Linked DNA regions of Medicago truncatula. The protein of the gene in region 1 binds, or shares a complex with, the protein of each later gene. Links are inferred from orthologs where the notes say so. Each region holds a gene or a part of one and is shown on either strand. Other genes may lie near its edges.

Region 1 (7,773 bases):
GTTTTGGATTGACATTTTTATTTTTAATTATACTCTTGAACAAATTTATCTATTTCTTTCAATTAGGCCCTTCAACATATTTGTCTATAAAAATTGTCATATTGTTGGGCTCATTTAAAAATGAGAATGACGGTGGGTAATCTCGCAAAGATTTCAGGATCCAGTATTTGCTAAATATCCTTATTAGATTACACCTCATGCCTTCCCTTGTTTTATGCATTGGGAGAAATTTAATTGGCTAAAACTGTTTTTGGGATAAGTTCGGGATAAAGTTTTTCGGGATGAATATCAACTCTCTTAAAAAATATAAGACTTTATATTATGTTTGTTATAGTTTTTGTTTTTTTACATTAAAGACAATGTCATTAACAATATATCAAATGGCAAGAGTGTAGAAATACAAACGGAAGTCTTTTCAATTCATACGCGATCCGGATTATGAAGAACATATTTAGCTAAATAATGAACAGTTTGGTCGGATTCACGCTTAATATGCAAATAGTTTAAACTATGAAAATATACATTAAAACTAATACAATCCTTAATAATAGAGTGAACATGTGTGTGCGATTGTTCATTCAACATCAAAACCAAATTATAAACATATGATTATGCTATAAGATTCAGAAAAGACATGTCTTTCGCAGGTACCAAACTGATATGTGCTCCGGTGTAGTGGATGTTGAATCTTCACGGCAGAGGAGAAAGGTGTTTGTCGTCACGTTAACACTCCAACGTTCAAGTTAGTATTTGAGAGAGGTGGCGTTATGTGTAAAAAAGTGGTAAAAGTAAAGTGTACCTTAAGGGTGATGCTGAGTTTGATTGTAAGATGTTCATGTTTTTTATGTGTCGAAATTTTCCGGTTGGAGGGTTGTTTGTGGTTGATTCCTTCTCCAGGCCTTAATGATGTTCCTTCATGGCCCCTTAGAGCATCCACAATCGAGACAACAATTTTTTGGTTCTTAAATGGATCCCGCGTGTACACATCACTCATTTATAATTTTTTAATAGTAGTATCTAATAAGCATTCAATCCCTCCAACCCAGATCTCACACAAATTTCTTAAATGAGACATATTAATCAACTACCAATAACTTTATATCATTAATTACATTTCAATTTTTTAATATTAAAAGAGTGTGAGTCCCGCTTAAGATTGGAGGTCTTAAGTAAGACCTCGGGTCTTATAAAACAAAGAAAAAGTTTTTCCCCAATAAAAATACATAATAGATACCGGATCTTAAATGTTTAAAACCCTCCTATTAAAAATGGTCTTAGTCTAACTTTTTTTAGGATTGGGTTTTTGATGCTGGTCCAGGTATAATATTATTCCTTTTTTTCTTCTTCCAAGTATATCATGGCCCCTCGGTCAAACTTCTTTATGATGAGTTAAAACAAAGTATATGTCAAGTTTGATATCACTTAATTTTATCATTTGCTTTTATTTTTCCTCTATATCATTCTGTATCAGTTAAATAACGTATTTATTTATTTTTAAAAATAAACAGGTAAGATTTTAAACGTCAATTATTTTGGTCCATACAAGCGGAAAGACGAGCATGTTGGTGTCAATCATTACACTAGTGGCAAGGATATTTGAAAATGGAAAAATTAATATTACAAATTTTACATTCCTTCATTAAAAAATAATAATAATATGCATGAATTACATTTTATTTAAAATGTTGACAAATAGATAAAATAATATTTAAAACAACTATTAATTATTAAAATATTACTTATTTTGTAAGTAGGACCAAATAGTACATATTTAATTACTTCTTTTAAACTCGTTAGTTGCTTAGGAGATAAAATCCTTACTTCAATGAGAAGCCTTAACAGGGAGTGATCCTTGTTAAGTAAAGACCTCCCATTAGAGATGCTCTAAGAGCATCAATATCGATCGTAGTATATGTATATATGAACAGAGCGTGTCCGGAAAAACACCACTAATTGAGTTTTTTGGGTGGTAAATAGTTGATCCCGTAGCACTGCATTGATACGGTAGCTTTGTCTGATCTTAATGTTCTTTTATAATAAAAAGTGCTTATGATGTTACTTTTTTGAATTAAAATGATTTAAGAAATATAATATAAAATATATTGTAAGATGAGTGAGACCTATTTTAAAATTTTGGAAGAGTGGTATGGATATTTAGAAGATATAGTTTAGTGGTTTAAATAATTGGGAAGTGTGAAATAATATATTGTATTACGTGAGACCCATTTATACCACTCATATGGGTGGTATGGATGTGGATGCTCTAAGTGACTCAGTTGACTTTGTCACACACACCAATGTACAATTTTGATCTTAAATAACTTTACTAATCTATTAGAAAAAATTATAAAATTTGATATTTTGAAAATATTCATCTAGACGAATCTAACAATATCTTATATGATATTATTTATTTTTATATATCAGTAGAAAAATACAGTCAAAGTATGTTAGATCAATAATATAAATTTTTAAATAAATCATCTATTATAGGATGGAGGGAGTATTTATCAGAAAACCTTTTGTGTGACCATACACATTATGCTAAAACTTTCTCGTAGTGAAACATACAAAGAAAATTGAAGTATAAAACTAACGCATTTCGGTAATCAGAAGCAGAGAACAAAACACATCTGTGTTTATTGTCATTCCAAACTAGGCTGATCAAAGTTAGTCCCTCTGAATTTGTAATTTGGAAAACTTTGTAACAATTTCAAAACTAAAATATCAAACTTTCCCTACAACCAAATTACTTTAAAACAGCAACACTAACATTTGTGATGCCAAGAAAACAATGATATAATAAATCAGTCTAATACTCCCAATCATCATTAGCATATATATGTATCTTCAAAATTGTCCACATACTCCATCCGATCACATTTATAAGTAAAATGCAGCTTTTTAGATACATTGAATAATTAATGTATCTGACATATAGCCTCGTGGTATTGACTTGGAACCTGAAAGTGTGCTCCTTCTTGATGTCTCAAGTTCAATTCTCTCCGATACCAATTTGGATGAGCTAATTTAACTTCTTCAAAATAAAAAATAAAAATGTATTTGATATACAAATGTGACTATATATATATATATATTAATTATTTAATTTATCTAAAAAAGTGTTTTTTCGTATAAATATGACCACCATCATCATAATATAAAAAGTGCTTTGGAGGTCGTAAATCTTTAATTTGCTCGTGACACCTTTGTTCTAAATTTTGACTCAAAGAAGCACACACGTGCAAATCAAGAAATTCAAGAAGAGGGCAACCATCAAGAATGGCAAGGAACCCAACACTGACGAGAAAAATTCCTAACAATTTAAAACGGTGTAGCCCAGACATTGTTTTAGCATTAACAAATATCACATCATAATATTTATTTATATTGAAAAATGATATTTGAATGGTCATTTTGTGATAATAGGTGTGACAATTTTTTCTCTTATACCTACATTGTATTTTTTATTTTTCTCTTTATTGTTTTGGTTCTTCTACCAATATCTACATTTCTTTATATATTTTGATTGTTTCAAATGATTGTTCAAATAATATTTCTCATTTATACTTTGACGCAAGGGTAAATCAACCTACAAAGAATTAATGATTTCAAACAAATGCAACATTGGCCAATGACTTCAACAGAATCCTTGGATACATTGTTCCTAGATGTAATGTTAAGCTCCTTCACAAATTCACTCAATCCTTTATCTGAAATTCTTATGTAGAAATTGTCTTAATTGACTTGTCCTGTAAAATATTAAGAGTAAGATGCTGATAATATATGATTCATTTGAGTTATGGGACGAATAATATTAAATTAAACTATAATTTAGAGTGTGTAGTGTATAACCATCATTAAACTATAATTTAGAGTGTTGATATGATACAAACAAGGATATGAGCTGCAATGAAATGAAATGAGATTAGAAATTGAGTCCAATAAATTAGGGAGGTCTAAAATGATCATACTACACTTAGGAAGTGGAATAAATTTGTTGCCATTTAGTGGTGACTCATTAGTTTTAGAAGATTGATGACTCACTAGTTTATTGGAAAAAATCTAAAACAATATTACTTATAATATAGAGTAGTGATATTTGTACACCTTTTCTAAATAACTTTCATGACAACTTTGTTTTTTTCTATTTTGATTGATCAAAATCAATAGAGAGAGAAAAAGGCAGAGAGATAACAAGAATGTAATGTGAGTATGAGAGAGAAAGTTGTTCAAAAGTTATTAGAAATTGGTTGTACAAATATCATTTCTCTATAATATATTATCTCTATTTTATAATCATCGATGAAATTATAATATTTTCTCCATCTATTATTCTTAAAAGGTTCTCATTCTATGTTCTATATCAGAGGAATTATCTTTTACATATCATTTGGTGCTCTTAACAATGATACAATCAATATTGTCATTTTATATAATAAAAAATTAAGTCATAAGTGTTTTTTGAAGTAAAATTAAGTTAATAGACGAATTTTATATATTTACCAAAAATATAATAGAAAGAAATTGCAAACTTTGTTTACTTTTTTAATATAATTTTCAAGGATAGTAGATTTGATATAGTATAGTTAAAAAACAATTCATGAGTTTTATTTAATTATAAATTATAAAGTTGATCCATCAAATAAAAAATAGTAGTAAGCAAAAACAAAACAAAAATCCTTACCCACACCACACCACACCAATCAATTTTGAAGAGATAGGATAGAAAAGAAGCAAAACTCTCAAATTTTTCTCTCTGAACCAAAAAAAAATAAAAAAATGGCTTCACTCTCTTCAACACTAACACCAACTTCAACTTCTCTTTCTTTCTTCTCTTCTTCAATCTTCATTTCTAATTCAATTCCCAAATTGAAATTCACTCCAAATTCAAACTCAATTTCACATACTAATTCACTTTCCATTTCTTGCAAACTCGCCACCCTTCCACTCCTCTCCTTCTCCGGCGAGAAAATCGGTGAATCAACTCTCGACGTCAAATCCGCCTCTCCTTCCACCTCTCGCGCCGTCGTCCACCGCGCCATCATCCACGACCTTCAAAACAAACGCCGCGGCACAGCCTCCACCTTAACACGCGCCGAAGTCAGAGGTGGTGGCCGAAAACCCTACAACCAAAAGAAAACCGGCCGAGCACGTCAGGGTTCGATTCGTACACCTCTCCGACCCGGCGGTGGTGTGATTTTCGGCCCGAAACCAAGGGATTGGACTATTAAGATTAACAAGAAGGAGAAGAGGCTTGCGATTTCCACTGCGGTAGCGAGTGCGGCGGTGAATACAGTTGTGGTGGAGGAATTTGGAGATGAGTTTGAGGGGAATGCGAAGACGAAGGAGTTTATTGCGGCGATGAAAAGGTGGGGATTGGATCCGACGGAGAAAGTTACGTTTTTTATGATGGAGGTGAAGGAGAAAGTGTTGTTGGCTAGTAGGAATATTGGGACTTTGAAGATTTTGACGCCGAGGACTTTGAATTTGTATGATGTTTTGAATGCTGATAAGATTGTTCTTACTCCTGATGCTGTGGATTATTTGAATGGTAGGTATGGTGATAGTGAACAAGATGATGATGGTGATTATGTCGAAGAGGATAGCCAAGAAGGTAAATCATTAGTATTATAATAGTATTAATGATGATTAGTGATAACATTGTTAATCGTTATATCTTGAATTATTCATCCTTGTTTTTCGAATAGTATAGTACATTAGTACTAGTTCAATATTGATGTTGCCTTCCGTAAGAAGCGTCGGTGCTAGCGTGCTATAGTCATAGACCTAGATTTTAAATTGAAGTTGCGGTTATGGTCGTGTGCAATTGTTGATATGTTGACAACTGTGGTCAATTTTAGATGGTACTATTGTGGCCGTGGGGACATACAATTACAAATTCGGATGTTGTGATCACAAATGTGGGTGGGATAAGGGTTTTAAATAGTGTTTACAGTAGAGATCCTTGATATTGCGGCCTGTGTGGCTTCAATTGCAGTTGCATTGCGTTTTTGACAACATCAAAGACCGTTATGGTTATGTAGCCCCCCAAATCTCAGTCGCAGACCTTTATTTAAAACTATAGTTGCAGATCTTTTAAAATCTTGGGCATTGCGTTTTAGATAGGAGTTAGTTTGGATAAACTTTTATTGAACATGGAGAATGAAATATTAAAAGAATTTGACAATGATTGTGTTTTTTTAAAAAATAGTTTCTCGAATAAGTTGAAATATGTTTCCATTTCTCATGATCATCCAATTGATCATGCAATTTTGTAAAAAACTTATTCCTTAAGCATTATAGTAGCTTGTAAATTTTTTTGTGAAATGAGAGAAAATTAACTTATTTGAATTGAAATGTTTCCTTTAGGTAGAAATCATTTCAAATTTGGTTTAAGTTGCTGATATTTGAAAATGTTTCATTGAGGTAGAAATCAATTCAAATTTGGTTTAAGTTGCTAAATGGATTCTCAAGTTAACATTCTGAAATATGAAGGATGTTACTACTGATGTAATTGTTTATTTTTTACATATATGTTAAGGCTCTGAACTTGTTTTAATTTGAAGATTATAAGTAGTTCACTTATTTGGAGTCATTAACCATGGTCATAAGATTAAAGTTCAACACTGTTGTTTGTTCAACTTGTTGTATCTGCATTGTGTAGTCTTATTTGTCATTGGCTTTAGCTTTAACTTTGGAGCTGGTATCTTTAAAAAATTATATTCTTGAGACTATTGAAAAGAAATGAAGTTAGTGCACTGACAGAGTAGAGTCACCTAAATCTCACTGACTCATTTTGATAGTTGTTTAGTATTGTGCATGTGTGTGTGTATGGACATTCATGTTGGTGGTTGGGTTAAACTTAAACTGCACATTCCCTCTGTAACTTTTGAGTTGCTTATTATTGTGGAAGAGTTTAAGATGGGTCTGAGTAATATAATAGGTTTCTGACTTGATTGCTTTCTTCTATTTGGATACAGGACCAGACGCAGAAGAAAGTGCCGATGCGGTGAATTGATGATTTAAAGTTGTTTGCACGGTTGTATCGTATCATTTTATAGAGGATATTGCTCATACAGGGTATAGAAGGTTTGAAGTCTTGTTTGTACCAATGTATTTGCTTTTTTTCCATTCCATCACTTAGAATCCAAATTCAAGTAGCATGTAAGGATATTTCTTTATCTCATTTACAATCACATTTTGTTGTAACCTAGTAATTTTTTGAATCAATTTTGTTGCTTTGTAGTCTCTTTTGTGCAGATGCATGTAAATGGATAAGTCAATTGTTTTGAATCAATGTTGTTGCATGTAGTTTCTTTCTTCTGAAGAAGTTGTATCTGGTTACTTCTTTTCTTGTACTGCTTCTACTTAATGGATAGACAAAAATCTAGAACATGTGATGCTTACATATTCTTAAATGTGCTATTCCTAAACCCTAAAAAGAAGTTTGTTGAACTCTCATGCCTGTTTTGAATGACTTTCCTGCCATATACCTCATAAAGTCTTCCCATTCAACCATGTTTTACACTTTGAAAAGGAAACCATTTGTAAGTTAGAAGAAGAAAAACAAAGAGCAAATGAAGTCAAGAAACATATTTCCCAGTCAAACATCAACTCCTAATTTAGTTAAAACAAAATTAATAGCTTATTTTCCTCTCACCGTTGGTGTCATATTGCTTCATTGGTGATTCTTCCTTCCATATTATTATTATTATTATTATTTATGATGATGGTATTGATAGCAAGCATAGAGAAAAATATATTTAAATA
Region 2 (6,603 bases), on another chromosome or scaffold:
ATGCAACAGTTCAACTGTCTTAAAAACATATTCCATCCAAATTAGGAATTTTTTCCCAATGATCACGTCAAAAGTTGTACTATACTGATAGAACCTGATAATAAAACTAAGTATCGCTGTTACTGAAACTAAACAGAGGGTGTGTACTACATAGATCTCTGTGAACAGGACAAGGAAAATAAGGAATGACAATTGAGCGGTAGGCTATTTAAGGTGCCTATCAGTGATCCTTCCCTTACCATCCTGTTGTTGCAACTGAAAACCCAACACATTCCATTCCTTTGTTACCCTCATCTCTCTCTCTCTCTCTCTCTCTCTCTCTCTCTATATATATATATATATATATATATATATATATATATATATAGGGCATATCAAGTGAGAGGAGTAATTATAATGAGAGATAAGAGGATTTAATAGGAGCCCTTAGATTAAATTAAATGGCTATGATTAATTCACTTGTTAAAAAGATAACATGTCCACCCCGTATCGTACACTCACATCTTCTTTTTCCGTCCTCTCATCTATCTGCATCATCCAGATACCAAAACCACCGCTTGTGTAATGATTGCAGCTCAAGGGTAAAAGATTACTCTTGCTCCATTTTCTATTTGCAGAATGAAATTGAATTTTGATATCTATAATTTAAAAATAATATTTTTGAACAAATTAGGGATTTTTGCTTCACCGATGTTGAAGCAATTCGATATTTTGAATTCAAAATCTTTAATCTTCCTTCATCTCGTTCGTGTTCTTCATCATTCGATGGTAGTAAAGTTGCAAAGTGAAATCTGGTTGTCTCTATGTCGTTCGATCTGGTTGTCGCCAATGTCTTTCCGTCGTCGCCATGTGTTAGATCTGGTAGCTTTGTTTTCTGTGGTTGTAATTTCTCAGTTAAAACAGAAAAATTATTTACTAAAAATCAAATTGATTTGCCAACATTCAAATAATTAGCCAGTTCCTAAAAAAATAGAGAATGTGATGTATCTTCAAAACTTCAATGAAACTGCGCAGCACACAGCATTTCAACCGAGGGAGATAAAAGAGATTGTGTGTGAGTGCATGTTTAATGACTAACTTAATACCTTCCATTGATATTAATCCAACGACTGTCAATTGATCCTCTCATCTCTCATTATAATTACTCCTCTCACTTGATATGCCCTCATATATATATATATATATATATATATATATATCAAATGAGAGGAGTATTTAGTGAGAGGCGACAGGAACAAATAATTACCCTCAGATTAAAATGAACGGTTCACGTTAAAAGCTGCACTTTAAATTGCACTTAACATGCTTAATTATACCACCGCACGTGTATTAACCAACACAGAGAAGAAAAGGAAAAATACACTCAGATTAATCGTTCATGTTCATCCACCGTCGTCTTCCCCAAAGCATCCACACTCAAAAGAAGACATCAAGCTGCTGCCAGGATCGTGTACTTCTGATACCAGTTGATAGAACCTTGTAAGATTCGTACTAATACTGAACAGGACTTATTTATTAATAAAACTCTGGGAATAATCCTTCCTTTTGAGTTGGTTATGCATTGAAAACAGAAAATACAAATGAAATTGAAGGAGGAAAGGGAATTGCTGTGAACTTCCACAAACTGCTAGGAAACAAGGAGCCTAGTCTTTTCCAACCAACCAGTTCAAAATAACCGAATGCCACCTGCTCTCCCTTACTCTATTTAAAACATACAACTAAATTAGGATTGGCCATTTCTATCGAGCCTGCACCTAACGTACACATTCCTAACAGTATGCCTACGAACATTCATTAAATGAATGCCTTTCAGCATGCTGACCTGAAGAGCATGGGGATTATGAAGCATTCCCCAACAAGCTTTAATTAATAGCATCATTGAAAGCCTTTTAATTTTCCAGCATTTATGACAATTTCAGCTAGTGACATGAACTTTTTCTCAGTTTTTTTCTTTTGGTAATTTTCTTACAATTTCTTTGTGCCAATTTACAGGAGATCAACGACATTGCAGATATCCAAGAATGAATGGTTCACCAATGTTGAGGGGTATTTGTTTCTAATGAATAGGTGACTCCAGATGCTTTGATTTGTCGTGCAATACAGTTACAAAGCTCGCCATCAGTTAGCTTTTCTATTTACTGGGAACCGAAAGGTTGAAGAAACAAATAACAAGTTTTGGAAGCGCCATAACAGTGATGAAATAATTGTCTCTACTCACTTATTTGGCCTTGTACCTTTCTAGCTTTTAGATAAAAAAAAGGCTTGATGCTGAGGTAATGAATAAAAAAGTAAAAGTGATTGTTTTCCTTGATACTACATAGTCTCATCAATTGTTTACTGTACAACGAGTTGGACCACAGAACAGACATTTTTTCATCCTATTTAATTGGAAGTATTATATTCGGCATTGACTTATTGTTATATACAGACGGTACAACAAAATCTTACTGTTTGTACTTTTTCTTTCGTCTGATGTTGCACCCTCATTCATGTCTATCAAACATCATAATCTGTGTAGGAATGTTTAATAACTGTTGCTGATTTCGTAATGGTTTCTTTTGAAACTCCTAGAGATTAACTGATGAAACACGGTGTTTTGCTAGTTTATCATGCATAGATACACACTTCAGTTCACACCCACCTACTTAATGCTCTAGCCTAAGGCTAATTGTAGTTGTGTGGGAAGGTTGAACTTGAGACTGGCTCAACAAAGCCAATCCTGTGTTATGATAAAACTAGCTTACCCAGGTATGTTTGTTTGCATGTCTGGTTTTGTATTCTCGTGTTCCAATGTGTGGTTATGTGTGAAATTACATTCTGTGGAGTGTGTTTTGATATATGAAGGCAGATACTAAACAAAAATGGAAACATATATGCATGGTGATACTTCACGGATATTTATAAGATACTCCATTTTTATTTTTTTTTGAACAAGCCAAAATGTAATTAAATTACCAGAAGTAATTCATCTCGCACAAGGTGTGCAAAAGAGAATCACTTAAATCAATACAATGTCAGTTCACCGGTGGCGCAAACGCAACCAGCATGGTTTCAGATCCAAAAACAAAGAAGATTACATGAATATACCCATACAAGACATAGGGTGTTGCCACCAGTCATGATAATTGAAAGCAAACACATGTAGTTTGGCTTTTAGCCACTGGAATGAGAGTAATTTCACTCAATGTTATAAGATACTCCCACACAAACTATGTTATAAGATACTCCATTAATACATATCCTAGAAAACATTAAGGTTAAAAAAGACAGAACACGGGAATTTAGTGGAGATGTCGATGGTTTAACTCAATGTGTGAATCAATACATTTGTCCATTGGTAAATCAGATTTAAAATTTATGTTACTTTTTTATAAATGATGGTGAAGAGAGAGAAGAGACTCCATCCGTCAAAATTAAACAAAATTTATTGAGTTATTTTAATGATATTTTTGTGGAAATATAGTGAATAAACTTATTTTTCAAAATTAAATTTAAAATACAATTATAAGAGTGCAATAACTCTTAGACTTAAATTTATGCAATATAGTTAATAAAACTATCAATTTAGTCTATAATATATTAGTCTCTCTTCATTTTCATTTTTAAGTATAATAAATAGTTTTAAAAGTATGTCATATCCGTCGATTTTATTCTTGCTAGGAAGATCTTAAGACTAAATTGACATGATTTCATATATTTTAGAGATTAAATTGATGGATTTAATATACTTTAGAGGTTAATTTTTATTTTGTATATACATTAAAAACTAAATTGGAGAGAGTGATTTTTTTTGGCTTAAATTATTTGTAATATATTGTAAGGAGAAAATTTAGGTACAATTTCTTATGTGTTTTTCGTATGATTCTTAACTATATTCACCATGATTTTCTCAAATCCATAATTTTCTCAAAGTTTGTTATATCCAAAAAAATATGTATTTTTAGTTAAGAACCATATGAAAAATACCTAAGGAATTGTATCTAAGTTTTCTCCATATTATAATACTAGAAAGAAAGTGAGGTTGATTGAAACAAATACATTTAGTAATGAAATAAAAAGTGCTAAAATATATTTTTATCATTTATCTTTTACCAATTATTCATTTATTTTGGTCATATAGATATTTTATTCTTTTCTCGTATATTTATCAAATATAACTATTTGTCTTGACTTGTCAAAAAAAGTCTTGAAAGATATAAGACTAAAACGAATAAAATAAAAGAAGACGAAAACAAATATTAGATTAAATATGGAAAATATATTTTAAAAAATGTTTAAACATGGCTATGAAATATAAAATAAATTGTAAACAAGTTTCTATCTGAACTATCATGTTTAAACATTTAATCATATATTATGCATTATCTTTACCAATCAAACTAAGTTCACGGGACAATCAATTGTTAGCTTTAAATTAATTGAGAACAATACGTGAATTGTTGTTCGAGAAATACATAGTTGATTTTGCGGAAACACAAGTGGTAGGGATCATGGATTTTAGTTTTTCAGAATGTTAGAATTTTAGTAAAAGAATAATTAAAATGATATAATGTTGTGGTAATTAAAGTGTATATGTATAATCCTTTAAAAAAGATGTATATGTATGACTTTTGATTATTATTATTTTTAACTAAATGTGTAACATTTGGTTGATACTATGTCACAATTTAGAAAAGCTTTTTGTTGGCTAACTTTTCTTTAACAACATGAAGCCAATAAAAAAAAGTGTAAAAAGTTAATTTTAATTTTTTTTAATGGAGGGTTTATTTAAAAAAAAAAAATGAAATTGGTGCGGGGCGGGTCGGGTATTGAAATGAAATTGGATGGAATAAGATAAGCTTTGCTGTTGTTGCTGTTGTGTTTCATTCTCTTCTCTTCTCTGTCTCTCTCTTGAGATAGATAACATAAACACAGTCGAGCGTCGTCAATTGATTCAATATGTCTATCATTTCTTCTCCATTCTCCATTTCAATACCTTGTTCTAATTCTTCTTCTTCTTCTTCACTTTCCTTCTCAACTTCTTTTTCTGCTCAATTTGTGAAATTGCAGCAGCACCAAAGAAAAAGAGGAGGAGCGATGGTGGTGAAAATGAGCTTAGAGGCTGGTGTTGGTGTCATGGGTACCAAATTGGGAATGATGAGCTTTTTCCAACCTAACGGTGAAGTAGTTCCCGTCACTGTTGTCGGTTTCAAAGAAGGCAACATCGTCACTCAGATCAAAACCGACGCCACTGACGGTTACAACGCCGTACAAGTTGGTTACCGGAGGGTTAGAGACCGCAAATTGACCAAACCTGAAATGGGTCATCTTGAAAAGGCCGGAGCCATTCCTATGCGCCATCTTCAGGAGTTTCGTCTTCAATCCGTTGATGGTTTTGAACCTAATCAGCGCCTTGTCTTTGATGAGCTTTTCAATGAAGGAGATCTTGTTGATGTCTCCGGCACCACCATCGGCAAGGGTTTTCAAGGTCTGTAACTCTCTCCCTCTCTTTGCATTCCCTTCTAGTGTCCAAGTTAAGTTGATAATAATATCTATCACTAATGTATGAACTTACTTTGACAATGACAGGTGGTATCAAGCGTCATAACTTCAAAAGAGGACCAATGAGCCATGGTTCCAAGAGTCACAGACAACTTGGATCCATTGGTGCCGGAACTACACCTGGTCGCGTATACAAGGGAAAGAAGATGCCTGGTAGGATGGGTGGAACTAACAGGAAGACCAGAAAGCTTAAGATTGTTAAAATTGATAAAGATCTTAATGTTATCATGATCAAAGGTGCTCTTCCTGGTAAGCCTGGTAATCTTCTACGTATAGCCCCCGCCAAGATTGTTGGCAAGAACATTCCAAAGAATTAATTACTCTTTTTCCTTCTTAACTACTTGTCTGTATTCACCTGTTAAGTACGAAAATAACAATCAAAACAAACATTTCTCAGTAACTGAGATTGGATGCAATGTTATAATGTTTTACAATAAATCATGTCTTAGGCAGATCATTTTTTTTCACTTATTGGTTGGTTTGCTATTTGATCAATTTGATGGTGCAGCATGAAGTTCATGGACACAAAGGAATTGGTCGTTCTAAACTCTAAACTAGAACTGGAAGTTTTTAATGCTATTAACTTTTTCCTTAACCCTAGTTGAATTTATTTTTAATGCATCTCCCATTGTTGTCATGGGCTTAACAAGGAATATTCTTAAGTTTCTGTTCAACTGATATATAATGTATTGAAACTCTCTTGTTTGTCTTCAACAACCACTGAGTTCCTGAGTTAAACCAAACTGTCTTAAGAGACATGGCCTCTGATATGCTTTTTCCTATAAATATTGCTTTATAGCCATACTTCCAACAGCATACAAAATTTAGATGTTAATAAAGCTTGTACTTGTCATGAAAAAATAAACAACCTTCACCCTCTAATGCCTCCTTTCTTTTTCCATTTCCACTTTCACTACCAACATCACCATCACTCTTGAACCAAGGTAGTGTGATGTGTCTTTGAGCTCCCTTTTCAATGGAGCTTGTGGTAGAAGGAAGAAACATGGAGTTTGGTAGAAGATAACTTTGATGGGAATAGAAAGTGAAGTTGTCCTTGTCTTT

Evidence for each region.
Region 2: 50S ribosomal protein L4, chloroplastic (region 1) and 50S ribosomal protein L3, chloroplastic share a complex: the UniProt entries of both Arabidopsis thaliana proteins name them as parts of the 50S ribosomal subunit. The link is inferred for Medicago truncatula from reciprocal best matches to the Arabidopsis thaliana genes RPL4 and AT2G43030.

The regions. Positions count from the first base shown.
Region 1 is NC_053049.1:1,015,917-1,023,689, forward strand, and holds 50S ribosomal protein L4, chloroplastic, read left to right. Parts: upstream 1-4,704; 5' UTR 4,705-4,782; coding exon 4,783-5,617; intron 5,618-6,983; coding exon 6,984-7,021; 3' UTR 7,022-7,330; downstream 7,331-7,773. UniProt on the Arabidopsis thaliana protein: This protein binds directly and specifically to 23S rRNA. May play a role in plastid transcriptional regulation.
Region 2 is NC_053044.1:58,753,113-58,759,715, forward strand, and holds 50S ribosomal protein L3, chloroplastic, read left to right. Parts: upstream 1-4,856; 5' UTR 4,857-4,938; coding exon 4,939-5,467; intron 5,468-5,568; coding exon 5,569-5,858; 3' UTR 5,859-6,012; downstream 6,013-6,603. Other genes in the region: UTP--glucose-1-phosphate uridylyltransferase, read left to right, coding at 1,993-2,025. UniProt on the Arabidopsis thaliana protein: One of the primary rRNA binding proteins, it binds directly near the 3'-end of the 23S rRNA, where it nucleates assembly of the 50S subunit.